Linked DNA regions of Tribolium castaneum. The protein of the gene in region 1 binds, or shares a complex with, the protein of each later gene. Links are inferred from orthologs where the notes say so. Each region holds a gene or a part of one and is shown in the gene's direction. Other genes may lie near its edges.

Region 1 (4,003 bases):
AAAAGCTCTTGCCGTTCTTTTCAGGATCGCGGTAGATGCTGAAATGTCTGCGCTTACAGTGTACTGATCTTTCAGCAGTGGCGATTCTAGTCTGCGTTGCTATAGATACATCCTGAAGCATGCTTTCAGGCCCGGACTTATAATGGAATTAAAACTTAATAACTGATATGATATGTGGTAGTATTTACTTTCAATTAACATTAGCATCGTACATGTTAGTTTTAAGCAGTTATGTAATTATATTCTAAATGTCTGCTGATGTACATTAAATCAATTCAGAGAGCACATTCAATGTTTATTATAAATTTAAGAACAATTTTAAGACACTATCCACCTTTAAAAAATGGCATTGTGTTAAACAAAGCAAAATTATTTGAGAAGTATTTCTTTAACACATTTCTCTTATTACGAATAATATTAGGCATACCTGCACTGGATGCTAACTGTTGATTAGGTGATTGAAAAAACGAATAAATCCCACAGTGGCATAAAACTGACTCGATAATAATAAAATATTGATAGAACACACCAATATGTTAACTTAATTTAAAATATTGAATAGTTATGGTCAGTGGCATTTACCTAATGCTGAAAAATCCGTAGAAGTGCAGCTTCTTTTCACAACCCTTTTACACTGAAATGCCGGTTGGTGATTCTTAATGAAAGGTCTACATCCCCATTTAATTGCATAACAGGTGCGCACCATCGTTAAAAAACTTTACAGCACAATACAAGTCTATTCTGCTATTTATAAATGTTACTTAATAAATAATCGATAAAGAAAGAATACACGTTTTAAGGATGTTAAGCCATTCTATTAACAAAACATTTCAATTTCGCGACGTCTGTTTCATCAGAGTACGGCGTTAATAATAGAAAGAACGAACTCGCAACTGGAAAAAGCGTCAGGTGAAGCTTCACCCACGCATTACCTTGCTATCTGGACGAATTATCGATAAAGCTGGAACAGCTTTCAAAGTGATTTCCAGCACGACATCGACGCTCTATTTTATGTTTACGGTTTATGTTACAATAAATCGATAAAAATTTAGTTGTATTATACGAAAACAAAACTAAGAAATATACATTAGAAGATATGATTCCGAAAACTGAAAAACAAAACGAACTTGGGGATTTGTTCAGTTTCAGTGCGTCGGCAATCAGAATCACTGAAACTGAAATCGTAAATTTTGGGTTGCCTATATGTGCTGAAACTAGCTGAAAAAGTGTATTTTGGGTTACATAAGCAGCATCGTTTTTAACCGTTGCATGTTTGTAGCGGCATTTTTTACAAGAATTACAAAAGTTCACGAAAATACGTTTTAAATTGTGTGTTTGAACATCAATTCAAGTAGGTTTTTGCCGATAAATTGCTTCTTGTTATGAAATACATCAATTTTATGTATTTTTGAAGGTTATATTGTTGTCCTAACCCAACTTTTAGTTTCTTGTTTTTGATTATTTTTTCCAACATTTTTAGAAATATCAACATGGGCGACTTTGCCGACCTCCTCCAGGAGGCTGAAAAAATCACTGTTGACATTGAAGGGAGTAAAGAACTGCCAAAAGTTGATAGATCTATTCGGCAGGTCTTGGAAGCTTCTAACGATTTATATTCAAAAGTGGCTCAAACTGGAGCAAAGGACATTCAAGCGTATGTCTTTGACTTATTCACTGTTAACAGAATTAAATATAACGTGGACGTAACAAATTTCAGGAATTTATTGTTAGGATCAAAAGGCGTAGACTTGCCAAAAATAATACAAAAATTGGAATCAATTAGTACCAAGCGCACATTCGAATCCATTGAGCCGGTTGAGGACGTAAATGCAGTCGGAATTCTTGAAAATGAAATCCAAAACTGCATTTTGAGTGTATTTGAAAACGGTTTCAATAAAGTAATCCATACGTGGTTCCCAAAGTGTACATACGCATAATTACATATTGTAGTGCATGAAAACAATTTCCGACTGCTCTTGGGAACACCAAACTGGCGAATGGAAACAAGAAAAACGAAAAATCCTAAATTCGATGCTGGGACCATCTGGGGCTTTCATAGAAATTGGAAAATATTCATCCGTTTTTATGGAGAGGCCTATTTCTATTACCCCCAACTTAGGAGTGGCAGAGACTCTCTATGCCGCCAAGATTATGGAATACAATCAAGCAATTGGCAGGAGCATTCAGAAGCCAAGTCTCATAAACAGCTTCATCAGCGTGGCAAATGACTTGAGAGACGCCGTAAGTTTTTGCCTCATTTTGATATCAGACAAAATTTTAATGACAACATACAGTCGTTCTTAAGCTTAAAAATTTCAGAAAGTTAAAGACATGTGGGAAATAATGAAATACATGACTCAGTTGCCGCCGTTTCCTCAGTCAGAGGATCAGATTAAAACTCGAAATTCTGCCCCTTTCATAAACGCTTTGGTGAAACAAGGCAAGAAATATCTGGAAGATCGGTAATTTATTTTTCTAATTCAATGAAAAAAGACCACAATTAGGTAAATAATTCTAGATATAAGACGTATATGAGTAACATCATTAACGAAAACCTATCAACTGCGATGCTTGGGGGAGTTCCCGGAACTTATCCCTTAGTCCGCAGTTACGTCGGTGTTCGCCTCCAAGGCGAATATTCGGGCTTGAAAGATGACAAAATCGATGGAAGGCCTTTATGGCCCATGGTCTACTACTGTATAAGGAGCGGAGATTTAGCAGCAGCAATTTATTGTCTAAAGAAGAAAAACGAAAAAGAGTTTCAAGACATTGTTGCTATTTTGGAAGCAAAACTCAATAATCCTGACAGTCCAGATATTTACAAACTGGAGGATAATGTGCGCTACAATTATCGCAGACATGTACGTAACGAAACTGACCCTTTTAAGCGTATCGTCTGTGCGGTGCTTGGCTGTTGCGATGTCGTTGATGAGCATTCGGAAGTCGCCAGAACCGCGGACGATTATTTATGGTTGAAATTGAGCTTAGTGAGAGCTGATTACGAAAAGGACGACCACATTAAGTACAACGACCTGCAGGTGTGTACACTATTTACTTTACCCAACACGTTTATTAGTTATTGTATGCAACAATTATTGTTATTTGCATTACTATGTCCAATACTTTCAAGAAAAAGTTATTTGTTTTCAATTTTTACGTAACATTTAGTTGTTAACGCTCGTATGTGTTTCCCACATTACGTAATACACTATTCCTTAGCGGATGATTTTGGAAGAGTATGGTGAAGCTCATTATGACGCCATGAACCAACCCCACTTATATTTCCAAGTGCTCGCATTAACCGGTCAATTTGAGGCCGCTATTGAATTTTTGCCCCGAATTGAGAGGTACCGAGTTCATGCTGTCCATATGGCCATTGCCTTGAACGAGTTGTACTTATTGGCTGGCTCACGGGACAGTTCAGCACCACTTAGTATGTAAAAGTTTTTGCGATTGTTTGTTTACTTATGATTTTTATTAGTTAGTATTGACCCAATGGATGTGAAACCAAGTCGCCGCTTGAACCTGGCGCGTTTAATTATGATTTATGTTCGCAAATTTGAAATAACTTGTCCTAATGAGGCGTTGCACTACTTTTATATCTTGCGCAATTTTACCAATGAGGATGGAGTGAATTTGTTCAAGATTTGTGTGTGTGATCTGGCTATTGAAACCAAGGAGTACAACAAGATTTTGGGGGTCATTCAGCCCAATGATATAAGAACCAAAGGGCTGATCGACCAGTTTACTAACGCTGAAATCAGTGCGGAAAACATTGCTCAAATGATTGGCGATTCTTTGGTAAAGAAGGGATTATTCGAGGAAGCAATAGATGTGTTTGATTTGGCTGATGTGAGTGATACTTTAATAAACAAATATCGTGTTAATATTTTTTTACAGAATCAAGAGGAGGTTTTGAATTTATTTTGCACTTTGCTGTCACAAGTGGTTCATTTGCCTTCTCAACCAAACTCTCTGAAGGAGAGATTGTTGGAGAAGGGAA
Region 2 (2,868 bases), about 3.2 Mb from region 1:
AATTTTCTAACTTTTTTAGAAAAAAATTAATAGATTTTGAAAAATTTGTCTGCAAAATTGGGTGGTTGGTAGCAAAGCAAAATACAAAATTTAGAACTGCTGTCAGTATTCCAGAACGATTAGTTTTAAACGTAGTCACAATGTCGGTTATAAAAGCTTTTTTCTTAACTCTGTCCCGATATACTTTGCTTTTAACATCTCACAGTTCTGGTTTACCATGATATGCGTGAATAATTCGCGCATTCGTTTTTCAACTACTCTTTTTTCTCATACATTCCTTTGTTGAGCTTAAATTTTGTAAATTTTTATTAAATATTTTAACATACTGATAGTAAAAGTTCTAAAAGGTTTTAATCTTCAACATTCTAAAAAATTTCGAGTACCTACCTACTTGCGTACATTTCTACGTAAATAAATAAGATTATAATCTCAATAAGTGCGTCATCGATAATTTATATTTACTGTGAGTTATGATAAAAACTTCTCCGTAGAAGAATTTCTCATTTCTAGCAAAAATTTAATAACTCAGTTCGGTTTTAAAATCCTTTATGGGATTACGTGTTACCACCACAGATTACGTTCAGAAATAATTAATTTCAAATGTTAAACATACTTATACGTGACTATTTCACATTTGAAAATTTAAAGATAACACTTGCAGATACAGAAATAAAAAATATACAAACATATGCAGTGCTTCAAAATAAGTAGTTCCATTATAAATCACGAAAATGCGATTTTTCAGCTCAACTTTATAACGCTTTCAGCATGAAAAAGCGTCACTTTTTTGCTGATGCTATTCAACGTTACTTTTATTGAGCGAATAAAGCGTCAAAGTGAAAAGTTCACTAACTTTTACTTCTCGTCTAAACGATCCATGAAAAAGTTTCAAGTTTTATTTTCAACAGCTGGGGGGATTCGTTTTACGTTTTACAACAAAAACAAATTAGGTAGAGTTTGTTTCAAATTGCCGCGGACTGTCAAAAATTATTCAGTTGTTAAGCAACAGTAATTCACGTAGAATGTGCAATACACAGCAATCTGGATCGAATTTTATTTAATTTAGGCAAGTTCTGTTGTCTTAACTAATTAACACTTTTAGCACATTTTTATTTAGGTATAAGCAATTTTTTAAATAAGTGTCAATGTTAATTAAAATTTAATTATTACCATTGTACTGTAAAAAAACATGTAAGAACAAAATGATCCACATATTTATCAGTAAAAAAAATATTATACCGAAATTACTTAGGCAACCAACAGTGCGCGGCACAATTTTGCTGACTGACTATACTAGCCGTCTAAATTTCGGTTACTTGTCATTTGTCACTTCTAAATCTGACATTTACATTTTACAAAAAACTCGAATCATTTACTTCGGTAAGTTTACTAATTTTGTTTTTTTACATCAAACAACCGCACTTTGCAGCTTTGCCATGGAGCCCATGACCCTCGGCAGCGCCCCATCCAGCCCCTCCTCCCCCAGCGTCAACCCCAACTTCCTCCCAGCTTTCCTCATGGGGGACACCTCCCAGCCGTCCACTCCAACCCCCAACACATCCCCTGGCCGCAACCGCAACCCAGCGCGCAAGCTGGGGGCCACCAGCACTCCAGACCCGCGTTCATACCCCAAACTCTTCAACCAAACGCTCGACAGCCCCAAGCCCTTCGCGCCGCACAAACCCGGGCCCCCCAGTCAGGGCCTCTTTGACACAATCGAGCAAAAACGCAAGCCCACGAGCCCCGTGATGCAATCAACGGCCATCGGGGACACTTTCAGGGATAGTTTCAATTACAGTCGGAATTTGAACGAAACGACGAATTTAAGTCGCGTGGATAAGATAGACACCCACTGGGTGACCGTGTTTGGGTTTCCCCCGAGCGCTCTGAGCCTGGTGTTGGCTCAGTTGAGCAACTGTGGGGTTATAGTGGAAAAGAAGGTGCCAGCGCAGGGGAACTGGTTGCACGTTAAGTTTAACAACCTGTGTGATGTGCCCCGGGCTTTGGCTCTCAACGGTAGATGTATAAATAATAATATTATGATCGGGGTTAGTTTACATTATAATAAGGAGAATAAGGAAAATGAGAATGTTTTTACGTCGCCGGTTAGAGCTAGGAGTCTGAGACACTCGTATATAAGTCCAAGTAGTAATAATTCAGTCTTGCCACCTCAAAATGTCCCCCAGAAGTCCACTGGTTTAGTGTCGAAAGCCATTGAATATGTTTTTGGTTGGTGATTTTTAGTTGTTATTTATTATTGTACTAAGCTTCCTTGATTAATTCACCAAGGTAGTCGCCTTGACTTAATCAACGAAGTTGTAATTTGATGTATGTATTTTTTTTTTAAAGAAACTACTTTATCAATTGATGTTTTTCCTTTATTAATAATTAGTATACAAATTTACAAAAAAACTCTAACCGCTGTGATCACAATTGACAACTAATGATGCAATAGCTGAATAACTTAACTAAAATCTACAATAACAAAACTGGTCTTAATTTTTCGGGTCCTCGATCGTAGCAGTAGCCAAATCAGTCATTTTCGGATATCTGACATTTTTCTTATGCAACTTGTCTTGTGCCCAAAGAACTAGTTTAAGTAGCGTTGAGATTTTCGAAGCCGTTGTTTCTTGGTGTTCCATTTTTAAAATCGCTGCATTTACCTCACTCGCAATCTGCAAAACCATTGGGTGATTTAAGTATACCTATGTGTTTATCGATATTCATAAAATTGTAAGCAAAACTATAAAATCGCCAACGTCGCATTTTACCAGATTATTTTTTTAAATGTGGTTCATAAAATTGTAAAATAGTTAATAAATAGTTGAAACTATAAATTACATTAGCTATTAATTATTTTAAGTGCAT
Region 3 (3,620 bases), about 2.6 Mb from region 1:
TTTTCTCCAAAAAAGAGAATATCCACATATTTCATTCGTGAAGCCTCAATTGGCCAGTTCCGTAATCCAAACTCCGCCAAAACAACTTAGTCGGCTTCCCGAAAAAACTTCAGTTGCACCTCGGGTTCTCGATTTTGCGCAGTCAACTCCCAAACCCACTGTGCTCAAATTCGACTCCACGGCAACTCCAATCGAAGGTTTACAAAATTTAGCCCTTAAATTCGAGGCTAAAAATTTCACAAATTTGCCCGAGAAAACTTTCACGCCTTTGACTAAAAACGTGATTGCTGGGTCTCCAAATTCGGCTTTTGTCTCAACTTCGGTTTCTGCATCAGCAAATACTTACAAACCCACCTTCATGGCTGCAACTACAGCCGTGACAGCGTCTATTATTAAAACAAGTCCCAGTTTTGTGGCAGTGACTAGTACTGCAACCATGCAAGCACCTAAATCGTTTGTTAATTTGTCTTCCCAACCAGTTACTAGCAGTACCCCAAAGGTGGGGACAAACCTCTTTGCCACATCTTTGCCTAAAACTACATTTTCGTTCAGTTTACAAACTACTAGTGCGGCGCCCATTTTAACAAGTAGTGCAGCGACTACCAAACCCAGTACGTCTATTTCTGTTTTTAATCTATCCACGAGTGTTAGTACTACCGCGGAAAGTACGATTTTTACGAAAACTTCTACTCCGTCATTTGGTATTGCTACCACCACAGCACCAACCTCCACCCAGTTTTCGTTCGGTGGCGCTACTAATACTTCAAGTATTTTCGGTGCAGCAACACAAAAAGTGACCGAAGCTGCGACATCGAAAACCTTTACGTTTTCTACAAAGCCAGTAGTTACTTCTGCAACAAGTACTCCAAATGTGGTGGTTTCTGCCGTTTCCCCCGTTGCTAGCAGTACCCAACGTTCAATTTTCCCTACGACTTCTGTAACAACCAGTCCTAAAACAACGCAAGCTGTCTCGAGTCCAGTCTCAATCCAACCCACTTTTGGTGTAACAGCTCCAAATTCAGTTAGTACTACCAGTGGCACTCCATCAACTCAGTCCTCACCGTTTTCATTGGGGGCACTTAAATCATCTATTTTTCCCTCACCGGCTGTTCCTGCCGTAACTACAACACCGAAAATCGCCACCAGTGCGGCCACTGTTGTTACTACAGCTGTTACAACTACCGGTGTTACAGCTCCTGTTGTTACAACAGTCCCATCTTCAACTAGTATTTTCTCAACGCCAGCAACAACTCCATCAATTTTCGCTTCGCCAGCAACAACTTCAACAATTTTCTCTTCGCCAGCAACAACGTCATCAATTTTCTCTTCGCCAGCAACAACTTCATCAATTTTCTCTTCGCCAGCGACAACTTCATCAATTTTCGGCTCTATTGTTAGTAGTACTACTCAGTCTCCAACCATATCTTCAGCTCCGCCCACAACTGGGTTTTTCGGTGGTGCTCTTTCAACTAAACCACTCTTTGGTGGTACCGAAGTTAGCGCCTCGAAACCGTCAATATTTAGCAGCACAACTGCATCAAGTGTTTTTGGGGCTGTTGCAACCACGGATTCAAACGTTTCGAAACCATCCATCTTCGGAGCCCTGCCATCATCCTCCACTACAGCTTCTGTCTTTGGTACTGTTGCAAGTACCGATAGTAATGTATCAAAGCCGTCAATTTTTGGCAATGTTTCGTCAAGTACTTCACCAGCGACTGTTTTTGGCGCTACCACACCTACCACTCAGATTTTTGGTGGTGCTACCCCTTTGTCTACTAGTTCATTTGGGGCTGCAGCTACGACACAATCGTCAATTTTCGGCTCTCCCACTACCCCAGTTTTTGGAACTCCTGTTGGTACCACTCAGTCGACTTTTGCCAGTCCTACAACGACAACTCAATCTCAAGGGTTCGGTCTTTTTGGAGACGCCGCCCAAAAGCCTTCCCTATTTAATGCAAAACCAAATGCGACTCAACCGTCAATATTCGGAAGCACACAGCCGTCGATATTTGGTGGTACCACAACTTCTTCAACGTTCGGCCAAAGCCAGCCCTTCGATGGGAGCAAAAATACAAGCGCTTTTGGTCAAGGTTCTGTTTTTGGTTCGTCAGGTAGTACGAACGTTTTCGGGGGTTCAGCACCCGCTTTTGGCCAAACGGGTGGTTCCGTCTTTGGAAATGCACCAACTACGAGCTCTGGGAGCATTTTTGGGGCAACGACTACAAGCGGAGGTACTTTCGGTACTAGTGGATCTTTATTCGGAGCACCTGCGTCCACTGCCCCCTCACTTTTTGGGGCACCTGCATCTACGACTCCCTCTATTTTCGGTTCGTCGAATGTCTTCGCCCCTGCCACTACTCAGTCCGGTACTTTCGGCACCAATACCAGTTCCGGAACGTTCGGTTTCGGAAGTCTCAATGTTTCAACGACTGCAAGTTCGGGTTTCGGTGCACCTGCGAACCCCTTCGGGGGCGATAAGAGCGTTTTCGGAGCCTCTCCAGTGTCGTCAAGTGGCTCAGTTTTCGGTTCCAGTGGTGGATCGCTCTTCAGTAACACGTCCCAGAGTTTTGGTACCGGTTTCGGGAACCAATCTTCCTTCGGCCAACAGTCGTCCTTCTTCGGGGGTAGCAGTTTCGGTCAGCAACCTGCGGGGCCCTTCAGTGGTGGGAGTGGAACTGTGGGACAAACCGGGTTTGGGGCAGGTCAGAGCTTCCAAAAACCGGGATTTGGGGCAGCTCCCGTTTTCGGGGGATCGCCCAGTTTCGGGAGTTCGCCTAGTTTTGGAGGAGCGCCGGCGTTTGGCAGCCCACCGGCTTTTGGGAATACTTCAAAGGTGTTTGGGTCCTCAAGCCCCGGGTTTGGGGCAGCTGCTAGTACCCAGAACACAGCTTTTGGTAATTTAGCCAATCAACCAACAGTAGGGTTTGGGAATTTGGCACAGCAAGCTGCCAACGCCCCAGCGCAGAGTGCGCCGTTCTCTGGGTAAGAATTTTTAAACTGATAAATGGCATAGTACATTTTTTTTTGTAGGAGCTCCTCATTCTCCAGTTGGCGTTAATGAAGGAAAATGTTTTACGTTAAATTTTGTAAGCTGAAACTAATAAATTTTTTTAAAATTAATTTTATTTTTCACTTAAAACACATAATTATTTCTGAAAATGTGTACACTATTGTCGCACCCTCCAGAGACCAGATACTTGTTATTGGACCAATCTACAGCTAGGACTTGCCCTTGGTGTCCCTCTAAATTATAAAGTGGGGCTTTAGGGCTTCTGGAATCCCACAATTTGACACCAGAATCGTATCCTCCCGACATAAAAAGGTGTTCATCGTATTTTGACCATTCAATTGAACTGACCCATAGCGTATGTGAGGTGAAAGTAGTCTTGACCACTGAACCCTCTGAAGACCTTGGGTCGTACAACCGAATATGTCTATCAGCTGAACATGCTAATAATGTGTTAGATAGGGAAGACCAAGAAGAATCCAAAAATGCCTTCTGGCCAACTATTTCATTCTTGATACCACACAACTCAGCATCCCAAAATTTAATCGTATGGTCCATTGACACAGTGCAAATTACATGGTTGTCAATCCAGGAAGTCGAAGTTATGGTTTCT
Region 4 (3,991 bases), on another chromosome or scaffold:
ACTATGACGATCGGCAAGTCCGATTGGCAAGCTTAATCGGCATGATCGGCTTTTTTTACGTGTAACGGTGGCATGTAACTTATGGCCGAGCGGCATGTCCACACCAAATCAGCTTTGGTGTGGAAGCAACTTAACGAAGAAATGGAAACTCATATTTTAAAGCCCTATATTTATATTATAATAACTGTAATATTTTTTAAATAAAATACCACTTTCCCCAAATAATTGTTTATTCACTCCTAACACCACGACGGGACAAGCAAGAGTGCCCGTTCGTCATTCTCCTACTTGCTTCCCCCTACCTCACTCAGCCTTTTCTATATAGGTACAGTACTTAATACACTACAATAACAAATTAGTTCGGTTATAGTGAATATATGAACTTCACTTTTAACGTTCGAAATTTAGACAAAAAAGTGGTCTAGGACTCGGTTATAAGTTATAAGTTATAACGTACGCACATGCACTTACAGCACTTACATGCACTTACAGCGACATTCCAGCAGGCACATAAACAGACCAAGTAATTAGAAATCTTTAAATTTAGGATACGAAACTAAAAATTATTGAATTGTTAGATAACTATTAAACATAGATGAATGTAGATAAATATGCTTTTCTAATAAATTAAATTAATACTTTATTTCGTGTATCTGTTTCACGTTTAGAATTCAGTTGACTTGAAAACTATTCTATAAACGACGATGTTCGGATAAAACAAACGATCGGGTATAATACATAACAAACAAATTCTGAAGTCCCTTGAGTGTTCGTTATAACCGAGTTCCACTGTAACTCACCAATTTAGGGTGGAGTTTAAATGAGAGCGATTTGAGACACTGTAGATCTTCCCCTTTTCAAATTGTTTAATTTGATTCGTAAGCATCTTAATAATCTTAATATATTAATCTCTTAATAGTCTGAGAAAAACTACCAACTAAAATAGTAATGACAAAAATTTAAATTATCCTTCGTCCTATATTTTTTTGAAAGGCGGTCTATAGGGTTTAAGATATAAAAATTAAAAAGTTATAGAAGATTAAAATTTCTCACAAAAAAGTTTGCGGAATCATCTTTAATGGTTTGAATGTTTGAGTGATGGAAAATAATTTGCACTTTAAAACAATTTAAACTTATTATTAAAGATAAAAATTTGGCTTTTCGGATCTTTTTAGAGAAAATTTAATTCTCTCCACTTTTTTTGTTTTTTTTTTGTTTTTTTTATACAATTTTGACTTTACTTACGGGTAACAAAAATAAAGATAAAACCTTCTGTTATAAAAAAGTGGAATATGGAAGCTTATGACACTAGAAACGCCAACGGACACTTATGATTATAATTTGAAACTTAATTTTCCTCCTTCCTAAATTTTATGAGGCCATGGTTAAAAAATCCATCTTTCCCTCAATCGCCACTAGTGCCGCCACCATCGTTTTAAAATTTAACGTCAAGCTAACCTATAAATTTTGTGAAGCTACTTGAAGCTAACTAATTTTCTGAAAATGTCTTTCAATTTCGGTGCCCCTAAAACGGCTACAGGTTTCACATTACCTACCACTAGCACAATTGCCAGTACGTAAGACATTTTGCTAACCAAAACGCAACTAACCCTTTTATTACACAGCCACCACAGCTACGGGCGGTGCAGGCGATACCAAACAGCAAACCCCTAACAAACCACTAACAAATCTATTCGGTACTCCTACGACCAGTACCGGGTTTTTCCTGGGTACAACCCCCAAAACAACAGCGTCAGTAAGTTTCGGCTTAACAACAACAAGCGCAACCTCAACTCCCAGCTTTACAATAACTCGTTAGTAACCCTTTTTTGTTAAATTTATGTAATAATTAGTCAACTTTAGCTGCGACTTCGACGACTACGCCGCAGTTCAGTCTAGGGACAAGTGCTTCAACCACTACCACCGCTGCCACTTCGTTTACTCCTATTTTGTCCACAGGGACATCCCTATCTTCAGGTTTAAAAAAATTAGGGTTTTGTAGTCTTTACACGATTTAAATTTAGGTTTTTCGTTGGCAAGCAGCGCTGCAACTTCCGCACCTTTGAAACTAACCACAACCCTAACCCCTTCAAGCACAACAACAACATCAGCCTCTGGTTTAGGCCTAGGGGGGCTTACAGCTACTACACAGTATGTACTCTAATTATAAATACTTTTAACCCGCGCAAATGCGTGTCACAGTTTATAATAACATATATCAAGAGTACTGTGAAAGTTTAGTTAAAGTATGTCTTGACTAGTATTTTATTAAGGGTACTAATAAAAAGATTATTAATAAATTCGATTTTGATCATATAATACGAGTGCGAACACACTAGGTTAAAGTTCGAGGGCTGTCGTTATACAACGAGCATATGCGAGTTGCATACTTAGACATTATTATTTTTACTGTGCGTTTAATTCGTACCGTTTTATTATTGTATGTCGAATTTATCAAATTTTGAACCATATCTTGCGTAAAATATTGATTAAAATATTTGAAATCTTTTTTTTTAACAAACTTAAAATCAGCGTTGACAATGCTCCACCTGGTTCCTGATTTGTATTATATTGTAGTTTTGATATTTCATTAAATATAAGAGTTTATGAACATACGTCCGGGAAATTTTTACAGCACTTTTGATATGTTTCGTATAATTTTTAAGAGCGCCAGCTGTGACCACCACAACAGCAGCAAGTCTGCCAACTTCTGGTACCTTAACCTATGCTCAGCTAGAGGACTGTATCAACAAATGGACTATAGACTTGGAAGAACAAGGAAAATTCTTCATTAATCAAACAAAACAGCTGAACGCTTGGGATAACCTGTTGGTTTCAAACACTGATAAAATATTGGCCTTGAATGAAACAATTGAGCGTGTGAAACAGCAGCAGAAACAACTAGACCAAGAGCTTGATTTCGTATTAGCTCAAGATAATGAATTAGATGAGTTGAGTCTTCCTCTAGAGAAACAATTAACTGATATTCCAGTCACGGATCAGAATAGATTCCAAACGTAATTGTTTATTACAGTAAAATATTCGACATTCTGTGGGTGTTTTAGGTATCAATTGTCTGAAATAATTGACTCCCAATTGAAGCAAATGTCCGAGGATTTGAAAGAAATTGTGGAACATTTGAACGAGTCTAACAAAAATGAAGATATTACTGATCCGGTTTGTGTCAACAAATGTTGTCAAGACTGCTCTGCCTACTTCACAGCACTCTTGGCCACATTTTTGTTTCGACTCACTATCCTATCATGTGTGTATGTTGTAGGTCATTCAAGTCAGTCGCATTCTAAATGCCCACATGAATTCGCTCCAGTGGATTGATAGAAACTCGTCTCAGATTTGCTCTCATTTGGAACAGATTACACAGTTACATGAGACTTACAAGAAAAACGTTTTTATTAAAATTTCCTCTATACAATAACGCCTTGTACAAATTTCTCATATCAAACAATAAATCTAACAAGATATTGCACTTAGTCGCTTTTTGAATGTCTGTGGCTTTTTGTTTCTTCCTCTGGGGGGCTTCCTTCATTCCCCTTGACTGTAAATGTGACGTAGTATCGCTTGTTCTGATCCAGACGATCCGCAGGCAGTGATATGACTTGTTTGTCGTTTCCGTGGCACAGTTCGAGTGTCACGGCCTTTTTCGTATTAATTGTTGGCAGAAAACCTGTGCCGGGTTTGCACTGCGTTGACGTAAACCCGATTTTGGGGATAGTGTGGTGATCCATTTTGGGAACTACAAAAATATGAGTAAACTTGCAACAAAGCTTTTTGATTAAAAAAATAAAGAATTTGTAATTTCATACTTTTGCTCGTTTTGAAATTCCAAAGTTTTTGATAAATAACGTATTAATTGATTGACGCCCGATTTCTTGAACGGTTTATCGATAGATAATCTGTACCTGCGAGTTAAAGAAGTGTAAGTCCATTTTTTACGAAAATGATATAATGCGTAATTTTAAATATTTAGCAA
Region 5 (2,524 bases), on another chromosome or scaffold:
AATTAAGCGCCCTCAACTAATTAATTATTATAGATAGCTTCCTTCTCGCCGCGTCTTTACTAACCACTGGTGAACCGTACAAAGCGCAAGAACTGTTCGAAAATGCGGCCAAGGGTATTTTCACGGACCAATTTTTGGCCCAACGCATCCTAACCCCTGACCACAACCAAACCAAAGCCTACATTAACTACTACTTGAAAGTGATTCATTTGTTCGAATTGCACAAATCGTACGATTGTGCGATCGCTTTGGCCAATAAGGCGCTCAGTGTCACCTCACCGGACGACCCTTTGACCGTAAGTGCCATTTGAGGCAAAGGGCGCCACTAGTGTTACTTCTAGGCCACTTTGTACTCCATCAAATTCAAGCACCATTTGGCTCTGAAAAACTACCAAAGTGCGTATGACTCGCTCAATGCCAACCCGGATTCCGACAGACGCAAGGACAATTTGCGCGACTTGGTGAAAAAATTGCTGGATGAGAAGAAGTTGGACGTTTTGATGGGTTTCACGTACAGCGGGATGGAGGAGCTATTTTGTGATATTGTCTCGACGAGGGCGCGCGCTGCCGACCCCTCGAATAATATTTACTACGATTTTTTGTACGCTTATCAAATTAAAAGAGGGACCACTTTTTTGCGGGCCGGTACTGGATTATTTTCTGGTCGATTTGTTGTGATTGGTTGGTTGTAGCCGCCTCTGTGATGTATGAACAAGCCTTCCGACTCAGCCAATACAGTGATCCTGACTCGTTGGAAAAACAAGTCAAGTGTTACCTTGCTGCGAAAAACGCCCTAGCCTTGTGTGAGCCTCAATACGCTTACATCGTAATGCCCGTGGAACAAATCGAGGATAAAACCATCACTTTACCCACTTTTGCCGGCTCGGATGACGTAAGTAGCCTAGCATTTGAGGCGTGCCTCACTCAAAATTTCAACAGGAGCCTGAAGAAATCATAGTACGCAAACAAGTGAACATCATCAACCTTGAAATAATGTCCAAGGACTTGGCGTTCGCCAGCGCCAAGCTCAAGTTAATTCGCTTCAACCCGCGCAACTACTTCGAAATAACAAGTGAGGCAGCCGTGAGGCACTTTTAGGTCTTAACTTTGGTTTTAGATCCGCACGAATTGGTGATTTTGTTGACTAGTGCCGGTTTGTTTAAGACGGCGTTGACAATTTCGAGGACTTTTGACGTTTCTTACAGGATAGTGTTTGAGGCACTTACGAAAAAATGCGCGTCGTTGTCCAAACAGAACGAACCGGTGACTTGGAAGTGGCTGATTGAGAACAATTTGCAAGGTTTGAGTGTGGTTTTGGGGGTTGGGTGTGATAATTGAGGGTTTTAGATTTGCCAGTTGGGACGAAAAGTGCGTCGGAGGCGGCGTGGAGCCTCCTGCAGGAGTGTGTGGAGGAGTACGAGGAGGAGAAAATGTCCGTTATTCATAAAATCGTGTGTAAGCAGGTTATTAAGATGAATCTGTGGATACCGCAGTGGCTGCTGTCGTCCTATAAGGTGAGGATTTGAATTCGAATTTCACGATTTTTTTGAATCTTTATAAAATCTGCGATTTCGCTTTTAAGTTGATCTGAATCATATTTTATGAATTTTGATTTGAGAATAATTTGAGTTCGCAATATCGTATTTTTGGGCGTTGCAGAAGCGCAACCCCTCCGAGCTCTTCCGCCTCTTGTACACGTCTGGCCGGCTGGAGGAAGCCGCCGAAATCGCCTCCGAGTACATGATGGCGGCCTTGGGCTACGGTAAGGAATACTACGGTTTCGCACACGCCATGCAACCCACAACACCAGCCGTCTGTCTCCCCGTTCGCGGTTTCATAACTCTTATCAACCAACTGAAGCTGATCAACTCAAACGACCCGGAAAAACCCTTCCTCCGGGAATGCGAACACTTATCAAACGTCCTCGATACGTACCTCAAAACGGCACAAAGAACCTCGATCGAGATGTGCAACTACCACTTAAGCCTGGCGATGAATTAATAAAGTGATTGTTTCGTAAAAAAGTGTTTTATTTCGTTTTCATTCGTACGTTTCGGTTACGCTCCCCACTGTGGTGAAGGTCAGGTAGATGGTGACGATGAGGAGGCAGCCGGCGACTGTGGTGATAACCAGGGTTGGGTGCTGTCGGAAGACTATCAGCAGGAGCACGCTGGCGACCAGCATGATAGCCGCCAGGAGCGGAATCAGGATCAGAGGGGCCCATTCGTTGCCTCTGATTTCTTGAAAAAAAAATTGTTATTGCTATAACAAAACTCGCCAAAAACTGCGTGATCTATTATTATTTCGAAGAATTCGCCGAAAAACCTTATCTGCAGTTTACACTTGCGGTTAAAGAGCTCCTTGATCTGTTATTTCGAGTAGAACAAGTCGCACTTTAGCGTTTATGGCAAAAAATGCTCACCTGCGCCCAAGGAGGTGCCAAACCCGTCCTTAAAATCCCACGTCCTTTTGCTCACATTCATCCGTTTCGAATGCGAATAATAAATCTTCGGTCATTGTTGCG
Region 6 (2,652 bases), on another chromosome or scaffold:
GGTTCGGTTCCGAAAATTCCAGCCTTTGGGGCGTCCCAGAGCTTCGGGACGAGCGAAAGCAAGCCGTTTGCGTTCGAAAGTGCCCCCAAAAATGCGGGTTTTTCGTTCGGTCAGGCCGAGAAACCGAATACGACGCCCGTTTTCAATTTTGGGAGTGCAGCAGCAGGGGCGTCAAGTGCGCCAAATACAGGGTTTAGCTTCTCGGTGCCTAGTGCCGGGTTTAACTTTGGTGGTGCGCCCAAAGTGGAGAGTCAGCCGTTTAATGCCGGGGGGAGTGTTTTCGGGACGGCGGGACCAGCGGCCAAGAATGGGAGTTTCAATTTTGGGACAAATGCGAATAATAACAATCAGAAAGCGGTGTTTAGTTTTGGGGCTAATCAGACTAATCCGCCGCCGAGTCAGCCCAGTTTTCCCAGTCAGGGACAGAGTCAGCCGGGGTTTAATTTCGGAGCACCGACCGTAAGTTAATTGTTTTGTGATGGTGATTTTTTTTTAATTTATTGTTTGCAGCAACCACTTAATGTACCCGGGGGTTTCAACTTTACGGGCGCCCCACCTACATTTAACTTTACAGATGGAAATGCAGGAACGTAAGTAGTTGTATTTGTTTATTACGAGAGAAGTTACAAGTGAATGTTTCGGTTTAGGGCGCCGCCCCAGCGAAAAATCAAGAAAGCGTTCCGACGGACGACGCAGCGATAGTTTCCTAGAGTTTGTATATAGAGGAGTGATTGTATCGTGAAACAAGAAATTGGAGTTGTGTGAGTACGTGTTAAGTTTGCTTAAATTATGTAAAGAATAAATGTGTGGATCAATCACCTTGATATTAAAAACAATATTTGTTTTCAGACCTATAAATGTTAGCTAGGCATTAATAATAAATGGGCCACCTGTGAATATTCGAGTCCAGGCATTCGTCTTTCGAACATGTAATATAACGTTGAAAATCTTCAGAATTTATTTACCATATCTGAATGTCTGCAGTTACAAGTAATGTTCACAGATGCGTCGGTGTACAAATGACACTGTTGTACACGGCATGTTACTCCCTACATTGTATACCATAGCGTAGGCATTTCAAAGGTCTGATCCATAGAATGTAGAATTTTATAATGATGATGAAGAGGATTTTCATCAATATTGTGTGATGATGAATATGATGAAATATTTGTGAAATTTTTGAATGATTCGTACCATATAATATTTATATGACGGCCAATACTGGCTACTTTTACTGTGATATTCTTATGGGTCAGGCCCCATACATAAGTATAAACAATATGCATATAAATATAATATCTAAACTAATCAACACAGACAAAACGAATTATTGTTTTTATTGCAAAAGTCCATGGTAGAAGACTAGATTATTTTTTTACGTTGTAATTTGGTTTGTTGGAAGAATTTGGCAGCCAAGTTGTTTATCAAGGATTGCTGAGTATCGAACTAGTAATTATTGCAATGCAATAGTATTTATTTTTTATTGTTAATTTAGTTTTTGTCTGTGTTATCTTATCAAAAAGTAGGCTCACTCCTTAGTTCCTCAAATTGAAAAAGTTGTAAATATTTGTTTAAAAGTGTGGTTTTTAACAACACATCTATTTTGTATAATTATATTCGTAGGATATATTTAAATGAATAATTTTTGTTGTCTGAAATACTTGTGTTGTTTTACGTAATGAGCCGTTATTGGGCTCTTTTTATGTGAGAAGTATTAAAAGGAGTTAGACTGCTTCGTGTAAATATTGTAATTCTACATGAAATAAAACGTTTTGCTGAAAATTTCATTTTTACTTCAGCTATTGTTATTCCTAATTCATTTATCACGAGGTTGCGTTACTTTTTACGAACGGATGGAATTTTCAGCATATTTGTGCCTTTATTTTTTTAATGTATAATTTTATTAGTTATATTTGTCAAGAACTTGGCCTAGTTTTGTTTAAATTATTTTCGTTTGGGTAGTTTTACATATTTATGTTGAATGTGAAGTTTACAATGGAAAACAACTGACAGGAGCACCCTATTTTTTAATGTTCCAAATCATTCCTACTACGCTAGTATCTTTTTAAATTATGCAATAATTTATACTTAATAAAGCCAAGTTTTGTTAAATTTTGTTTTAGTTAATAAAATTACATTAGTTATAAAACCATCATGAGTATGTATTGACCTAGTTTCTTTTTAGATCCTGGTACTATCTGAAATTCCTGCAGTTGTTCTTAGTTACAAAATTTGTGTGGAGGACAATAACTTTACAACTAAAAGTCCATATAGATTAAAAAGTTTTAATGTTACTTGTATGGAACATTTCAATTTTATAAGATTATATATAACAGACATACACTCAAATACATGGAGACAACTATACAAAGTATTTCCTCAGCCAAATGAAACTGTGCTAAAACGTCTGAAGAGCCTTAATCCTGTGGAAATTAAGACTAAGGATTTGCGTCAAAAGTTGTACTTTTTTACAAGTTATAATTTTAAAAGTGAAAATAAAATATAATACAAAAGAGATGTAAACAAGATAATTGTATAAAATCGTCCTACAGTTGTCATATTCAATTATCTGGATGTACAAAATTAGTGTAACTTTATTTATATTGAATATAACAATTGTATTTTATAAATTTCTTACATTAAAGCAACATA
Region 7 (3,936 bases), on another chromosome or scaffold:
TCGAGATGGGGCAAGGTATCAACACTAAGGTGACCAGTGACTTTGTTTAAATTTGAACTAATCGTACACGTGTAATTGAAGGTCATTCAAGTGTGTGCCTACAAGTTGAAAATTCCAGTCGAAAAAATTTCGGTCAAGCCTAGCAATAATTTGATCGCGCCTAATGCCCACATGGTCGGTGGTAGCTTAACATCGGAAACAGTTTGTCACGTATTACCTCACTCTTGTTTTTTTTGTTTTTCTCAAATATCTATCACAGGGTGTGATTAAAGCGTGCGATATCCTGTTAGAACGCATGGAACCGGTCAAAAAACAGCTCGAAAATGCCAGTTGGGAGGAAATTGTGCAAGAATGTTACAATCAATATGTTAACTTGTCGGCCTCTTCAATGTATAAGTGATTCGTTAAGTAATTAATTTCCGAATAATGTTTTTAGGGGTAGCCCTTCCGAACTGAAAAATTACGCGATTTACGGCGTTTGCTCCTCCGAAATAGAGCTGGACGTTTTAACCGGGCAATATATCGTGCAAAGGGTTGATTTACTCGAAGATGCCGGTACTAGCATGAACGCTGGTATCGATATGGGGCAAGTCGAGGGCGCGTTTGTCATGGGCATGGGTTATTTCACGTCGGAGAAGATTATTTTTAGCGAAAGCGGCGAGTTGTTGACCAATCGCACTTGGAATTATAAACCACCAGGCGCGAGGGACGTTCCAGTTGATTTTAGGATCAAATTTCCGGGCGATACGCCCAATGGCGTTGGAGTTCTCAATTCCAAAGGTAAATAGCTTGAATATGGAATCATAACTGTGGAAAATTGTAGCTATCGGGGAACCACCGCTATGTTTGGCGTGTTCAGTCCCGTTGGCGATACGCAACGCCGTTGCGAGTGCCAGAAAGGAAACGAGAAATTCGTGCGATGAATGGTATCCTTTTTGTGAGTTTTTTGTTAATTTGTTACATAATTGGATAATGAATACAATTTTGTAGCGGGACCCTCAACTGTGGAAGACGTTTTCACGAACTGCTTACACGATTTTAAGCAATATACGTTGTAAAATAAAAAATTGTATTAATTGGTTTGGTTTAATAAATGATAGCTGCGCAGTTTGAATTTAATTTCGCGCCACTCGCAGGTGGCGCCACCGCTTTTTACAATAAAAACAAGATGGTTGTCGTAAATAAAATTTGCGGTAGTTTAACCGTCTGTTGTGTTTTTGTGGCAAAATATTAGTAAAAACCGTCGTGTTTTAATGTGGTGTTAATGAAAATCAATCGCTGCATCTCCTGTGATTTCTATGGATGCCTAACCAATTGTGGTCGTAAATATGTATCCCAACTTTATGAATAAGCCAGCATTCATGAATAACCCACCGAATTCAACTTTTGGGGGTAAGTTTGCCGAACTGAATCGGTGGTTGTTACCGTGGTTGGTTTTCTAGCGTCCACTTCGACTTTCGGACAACCTGCCCCCAACACCTCTATGTTTTCATCAATGCAGCCCTCGAACATCTTCCAGTCTGCGAGCACCTCGTCCTTCGCATCGGCGCCCACAAGCCAAACCAGCTTCGGTACGTACACCCAACAGTTGTTAAAGTTAGTAGGAAACAGAAGTAGTATAACCTCACACTTGCCCCCATGATTGCCCATTATTGTGCAACACGTTCCCTTTTTGTTTACTAACACCAAATACACTAATTTGTATTTTACTAACCCGTATGATGAGAATTGAGTTGGTTTGCGCGAATGAGAGAGTGATTTTTGACAGATCAGCATTGCGATAATAAAGCGTCTCGAATTTGTATTAATTTTATTATGATTGTGACAGTTGAGCCGCCTCTCCCGCTGTCTCCAGATGAGGAGAACTACCTGACGGCCGCCTGTGAGTTTCTATTTTTTTGTTACTTTCAATATTTTTCATGAATTTTTTACAGATAATCGCGAAGCTATACGTAGATTTGAGGTGCAGGGTGGTGGTGAGTAATATTGTTCTACTACAGCCTCGTTTACGTTTCCTTGTCTTTTCAAAATGTACATTCTTTTTTTAAAAAAATAAATAAATATGTAAAAATAAAACAGATAACGTTTCCTTATGAAGTTATGACGGAATATCCCATACAACTCTTGTAAAAAGACGATACTCTCTAGGTCTTTTATTTTTTGTATACAGGGTGACCTGACTAATATTTCTATGCCGTTTTCATGAATTCATAGATCTACTCCAAGTACAAACTAAACACCTTATATATAACATAGTTACATTCCACGTAAAAAATAATGTAACCTTTATACTTTTATACTATTAATAGTATCTTTTTCCTGGAGATTGTACACATTAGAACTAGAACTCGCAGACGTTTATTATTCTCACAGAATTCAAGAGTTCAACTAATAAAATAAAAAACAAAGTTATAAGGCATTTTACTTGATTTTAGATAGCCCGGGCTTGGTTGATCCAGCCATTTTGAGATACGCTGGTGCTGGTGAGTTTTTTTGTCATAAATTTATCTTTATTATTTTCTGGAATTTTTAGGTGAGATTTCTCCCAGACCACCGTATCCCGAATTTCATTCACCTCGCGCTGCTGAGCCGGGACCCTCTGGTAAATCGAAATTATTGTTAAGTTGGAATTGTTTCTATATTTTTTTTTATTTAGGAGAACAGAGAGTTCCACAGCCATTAAGCCCGTTTACTATTACACGTAAGTTAATTTAAGGTATTACGTATATATTAAGTAATTTTCAATAGGCCAAGATGGTAGACCTCTTAACCGACAATTGACCCAATATCTTCAAAGTAGTAAGTATTGCGACAGTTGAGCTTTTCGATTTTATTTTCTTTTAAGTTGGTGGTGGCGGTATTTCAGTTGCTTCATGTGTTTGTAAGTAACGGTTTGTTATTTTCGGCCAAAATTTTTTTAAATATTTGATAGGTACAACAACCAGTTCTATGACTTATTCTATGGCCAATATTTCCGATCCAGAGTTTGGTAAGCTAAGTCGATTGAAACAATTAATTTAAAAGATTCATAGGTTTAGCTGATGAGACAATGAGCGCCCATTGTAAGTATACTTCTTGTCTCATATATCGGGAGACACTCCTATGATTTGTATTTATTTGGTTATTTTATTTTATTGTTTAGCTAGTTTAACTAGGATGTCTTGTAAGTCGTCGTCTGGTAAGTGAGATATTCAATGATGGTTTTAACGGAATGATGTGTGATCCCTATCCATATCCTTTTTTTTTCCCAAGCACAGAATGGGCAATAGTCCGATATTTCATCATTCAGTTTCTTAATAAATCTGTCTGTAGGCACAAATCCCTTTGGCCAGCAACCACAACCATCAACTAGCGGTTTATTCGGTGGCTCAAATGCATTCACTCAAAATAAATCATTCGGATTCGGCTCGGCCCCTCCTCAGCCCGGATTATTCGGCCAACAGCCGCAACAACAACCCGGAACCTCTCTTTTCCAATCAAACACTAATACAATGTTATTCGGAAGTAACGCTTTCGGAAACCAGACCACCGGCACTGTTATTAAATTCAATCCGGTTACGGGGACCGACACCATGCAAAAAAACGGGGTAACCCAGTCGATAAGTACCAAACACCACTGCATCACGTGCATGAAAGAATACGAGAATAAATCGCTGGAAGAGTTGCGATTTGAGGACTATTCGGTTAACCGGAAAGGACCCCAACAACAGGCCGGTTTCGGAAGCACCCCTTTCGGGGCTTCGACCACTACAACGCCCTCGCTTTTCGGGCAAACTGATAACAAACCCGCCTTCGGACAACAACCGCAAGCATTCGGCCAGGCGCCGGCTTTCGGACAAACAACACCAGCTTTCGGATCGACCAACACGACAAGCACTCCGACTTTGTTCGGAAAACCGAACACTTTCGGCGCTACCACTAGCACCCCAAGTTTTG

The links.
Region 2: the proteins of nuclear pore complex protein Nup93 (region 1) and Nup35 are in contact, whole or in part, in a crystal structure (PDB 7MW1), measured with the Homo sapiens proteins. The link is inferred for Tribolium castaneum from reciprocal best matches to the Homo sapiens genes NUP93 and NUP35. Residues at the interface, in NP_055484.3 of Homo sapiens: Tyr266, Tyr269, Asn402, Ala407, Asp408, Lys409, Thr410, Glu411, Tyr413, Tyr448, His452, Phe453, Val455, Asn456, Leu461; in NP_612142.2 of Homo sapiens: Ala88, Pro89, Pro90, Val91, Arg92, Ser93, Ile94, Tyr95.
Region 3: nuclear pore complex protein Nup93 (region 1) and Nup214 share a complex: the UniProt entries of both Homo sapiens proteins name them as parts of the nuclear pore complex. The link is inferred for Tribolium castaneum from reciprocal best matches to the Homo sapiens genes NUP93 and NUP214.
Region 4: nuclear pore complex protein Nup93 (region 1) and nuclear pore glycoprotein p62 share a complex: the UniProt entries of both Homo sapiens proteins name them as parts of the p62 complex. The link is inferred for Tribolium castaneum from reciprocal best matches to the Homo sapiens genes NUP93 and NUP62.
Region 5: nuclear pore complex protein Nup93 (region 1) and Nup160 share a complex: the UniProt entries of both Homo sapiens proteins name them as parts of the nuclear pore complex. The link is inferred for Tribolium castaneum from reciprocal best matches to the Homo sapiens genes NUP93 and NUP160.
Region 6: nuclear pore complex protein Nup93 (region 1) and Nup153 share a complex: the UniProt entries of both Homo sapiens proteins name them as parts of the nuclear pore complex. The link is inferred for Tribolium castaneum from reciprocal best matches to the Homo sapiens genes NUP93 and NUP153.
Region 7: nuclear pore complex protein Nup93 (region 1) and Nup98-96 share a complex: the UniProt entries of both Homo sapiens proteins name them as parts of the nuclear pore complex. The link is inferred for Tribolium castaneum from reciprocal best matches to the Homo sapiens genes NUP93 and NUP98.

What each region holds. Positions count from the first base shown.
Region 1 is NC_087398.1:8,838,601-8,842,603, forward strand, and holds the start of nuclear pore complex protein Nup93, read left to right. Parts: upstream 1-1,203; 5' UTR 1,204-1,351; intron 1,352-1,480; 5' UTR 1,481-1,490; coding exon 1,491-1,654; intron 1,655-1,717; coding exon 1,718-1,898; intron 1,899-1,950; coding exon 1,951-2,241; intron 2,242-2,319; coding exon 2,320-2,462; intron 2,463-2,518; coding exon 2,519-3,038; intron 3,039-3,219; coding exon 3,220-3,433; intron 3,434-3,481; coding exon 3,482-3,852; intron 3,853-3,900; coding exon 3,901-4,003. Other genes in the region: vari (protein PALS2), read right to left, coding at 583-706. UniProt on the Homo sapiens protein: Plays a role in the nuclear pore complex (NPC) assembly and/or maintenance. May anchor nucleoporins, but not NUP153 and TPR, to the NPC. During renal development, regulates podocyte migration and proliferation through SMAD4 signaling.
Region 2 is NC_087398.1:12,058,577-12,061,444, reverse strand, and holds Nup35 (nucleoporin NUP35), read left to right. Parts: upstream 1-1,242; 5' UTR 1,243-1,380; intron 1,381-1,429; 5' UTR 1,430-1,436; coding exon 1,437-2,237; 3' UTR 2,238-2,368; downstream 2,369-2,868. Other genes in the region: Hou (glucose-induced degradation protein 8 homolog), read right to left, coding at 2,496-2,675. UniProt on the Homo sapiens protein: Functions as a component of the nuclear pore complex (NPC).
Region 3 is NC_087398.1:6,201,336-6,204,955, reverse strand, and holds the end of Nup214 (nuclear pore complex protein Nup214), read left to right. Parts: coding exon 1-2,982; intron 2,983-3,030; coding exon 3,031-3,058; 3' UTR 3,059-3,120; downstream 3,121-3,620. Other genes in the region: ribosome biogenesis protein WDR12 homolog, read right to left, coding at 3,134-3,620. UniProt on the Homo sapiens protein: Part of the nuclear pore complex. Has a critical role in nucleocytoplasmic transport.
Region 4 is NC_087396.1:18,040,756-18,044,746, reverse strand, and holds nuclear pore glycoprotein p62, read left to right. Parts: upstream 1-1,401; 5' UTR 1,402-1,503; coding exon 1,504-1,573; intron 1,574-1,625; coding exon 1,626-1,814; intron 1,815-1,863; coding exon 1,864-1,977; intron 1,978-2,024; coding exon 2,025-2,151; intron 2,152-2,666; coding exon 2,667-3,017; intron 3,018-3,065; coding exon 3,066-3,177; intron 3,178-3,280; coding exon 3,281-3,436; 3' UTR 3,437-3,488; downstream 3,489-3,991. Other genes in the region: ankyrin repeat domain-containing protein 12, read right to left, coding at 3,489-3,754. UniProt on the Homo sapiens protein: Essential component of the nuclear pore complex. The N-terminal is probably involved in nucleocytoplasmic transport.
Region 5 is NC_087395.1:25,108,763-25,111,286, reverse strand, and holds the end of Nup160 (nuclear pore complex protein Nup160 homolog), read left to right. Parts: intron 1-33; coding exon 34-296; intron 297-341; coding exon 342-645; intron 646-692; coding exon 693-892; intron 893-939; coding exon 940-1,072; intron 1,073-1,117; coding exon 1,118-1,300; intron 1,301-1,347; coding exon 1,348-1,514; intron 1,515-1,659; coding exon 1,660-2,001; 3' UTR 2,002-2,024; downstream 2,025-2,524. Other genes in the region: uncharacterized protein LOC100142578, read right to left, coding at 2,041-2,240, 2,423-2,483. UniProt on the Homo sapiens protein: Functions as a component of the nuclear pore complex (NPC). Involved in poly(A)+ RNA transport.
Region 6 is NC_087394.1:31,192,339-31,194,990, reverse strand, and holds the end of Nup153 (nuclear pore complex protein Nup153), read left to right. Parts: coding exon 1-459; intron 460-510; coding exon 511-590; intron 591-647; coding exon 648-702; 3' UTR 703-2,152; downstream 2,153-2,652. UniProt on the Homo sapiens protein: Component of the nuclear pore complex (NPC), a complex required for the trafficking across the nuclear envelope. Functions as a scaffolding element in the nuclear phase of the NPC essential for normal nucleocytoplasmic transport of proteins and mRNAs.
Region 7 is NC_087403.1:3,514,342-3,518,277, reverse strand, and holds the start of Nup98-96 (nuclear pore complex protein Nup98-Nup96), read left to right. Parts: upstream 1-1,136; 5' UTR 1,137-1,328; coding exon 1,329-1,392; intron 1,393-1,442; coding exon 1,443-1,571; intron 1,572-3,312; coding exon 3,313-3,936. Other genes in the region: uncharacterized protein LOC656938, read left to right, coding at 1-29, 82-210, 260-390, 437-780, 824-937, 991-1,058. UniProt on the Homo sapiens protein: Plays a role in the nuclear pore complex (NPC) assembly and/or maintenance. NUP98 and NUP96 are involved in the bidirectional transport across the NPC. May anchor NUP153 and TPR to the NPC.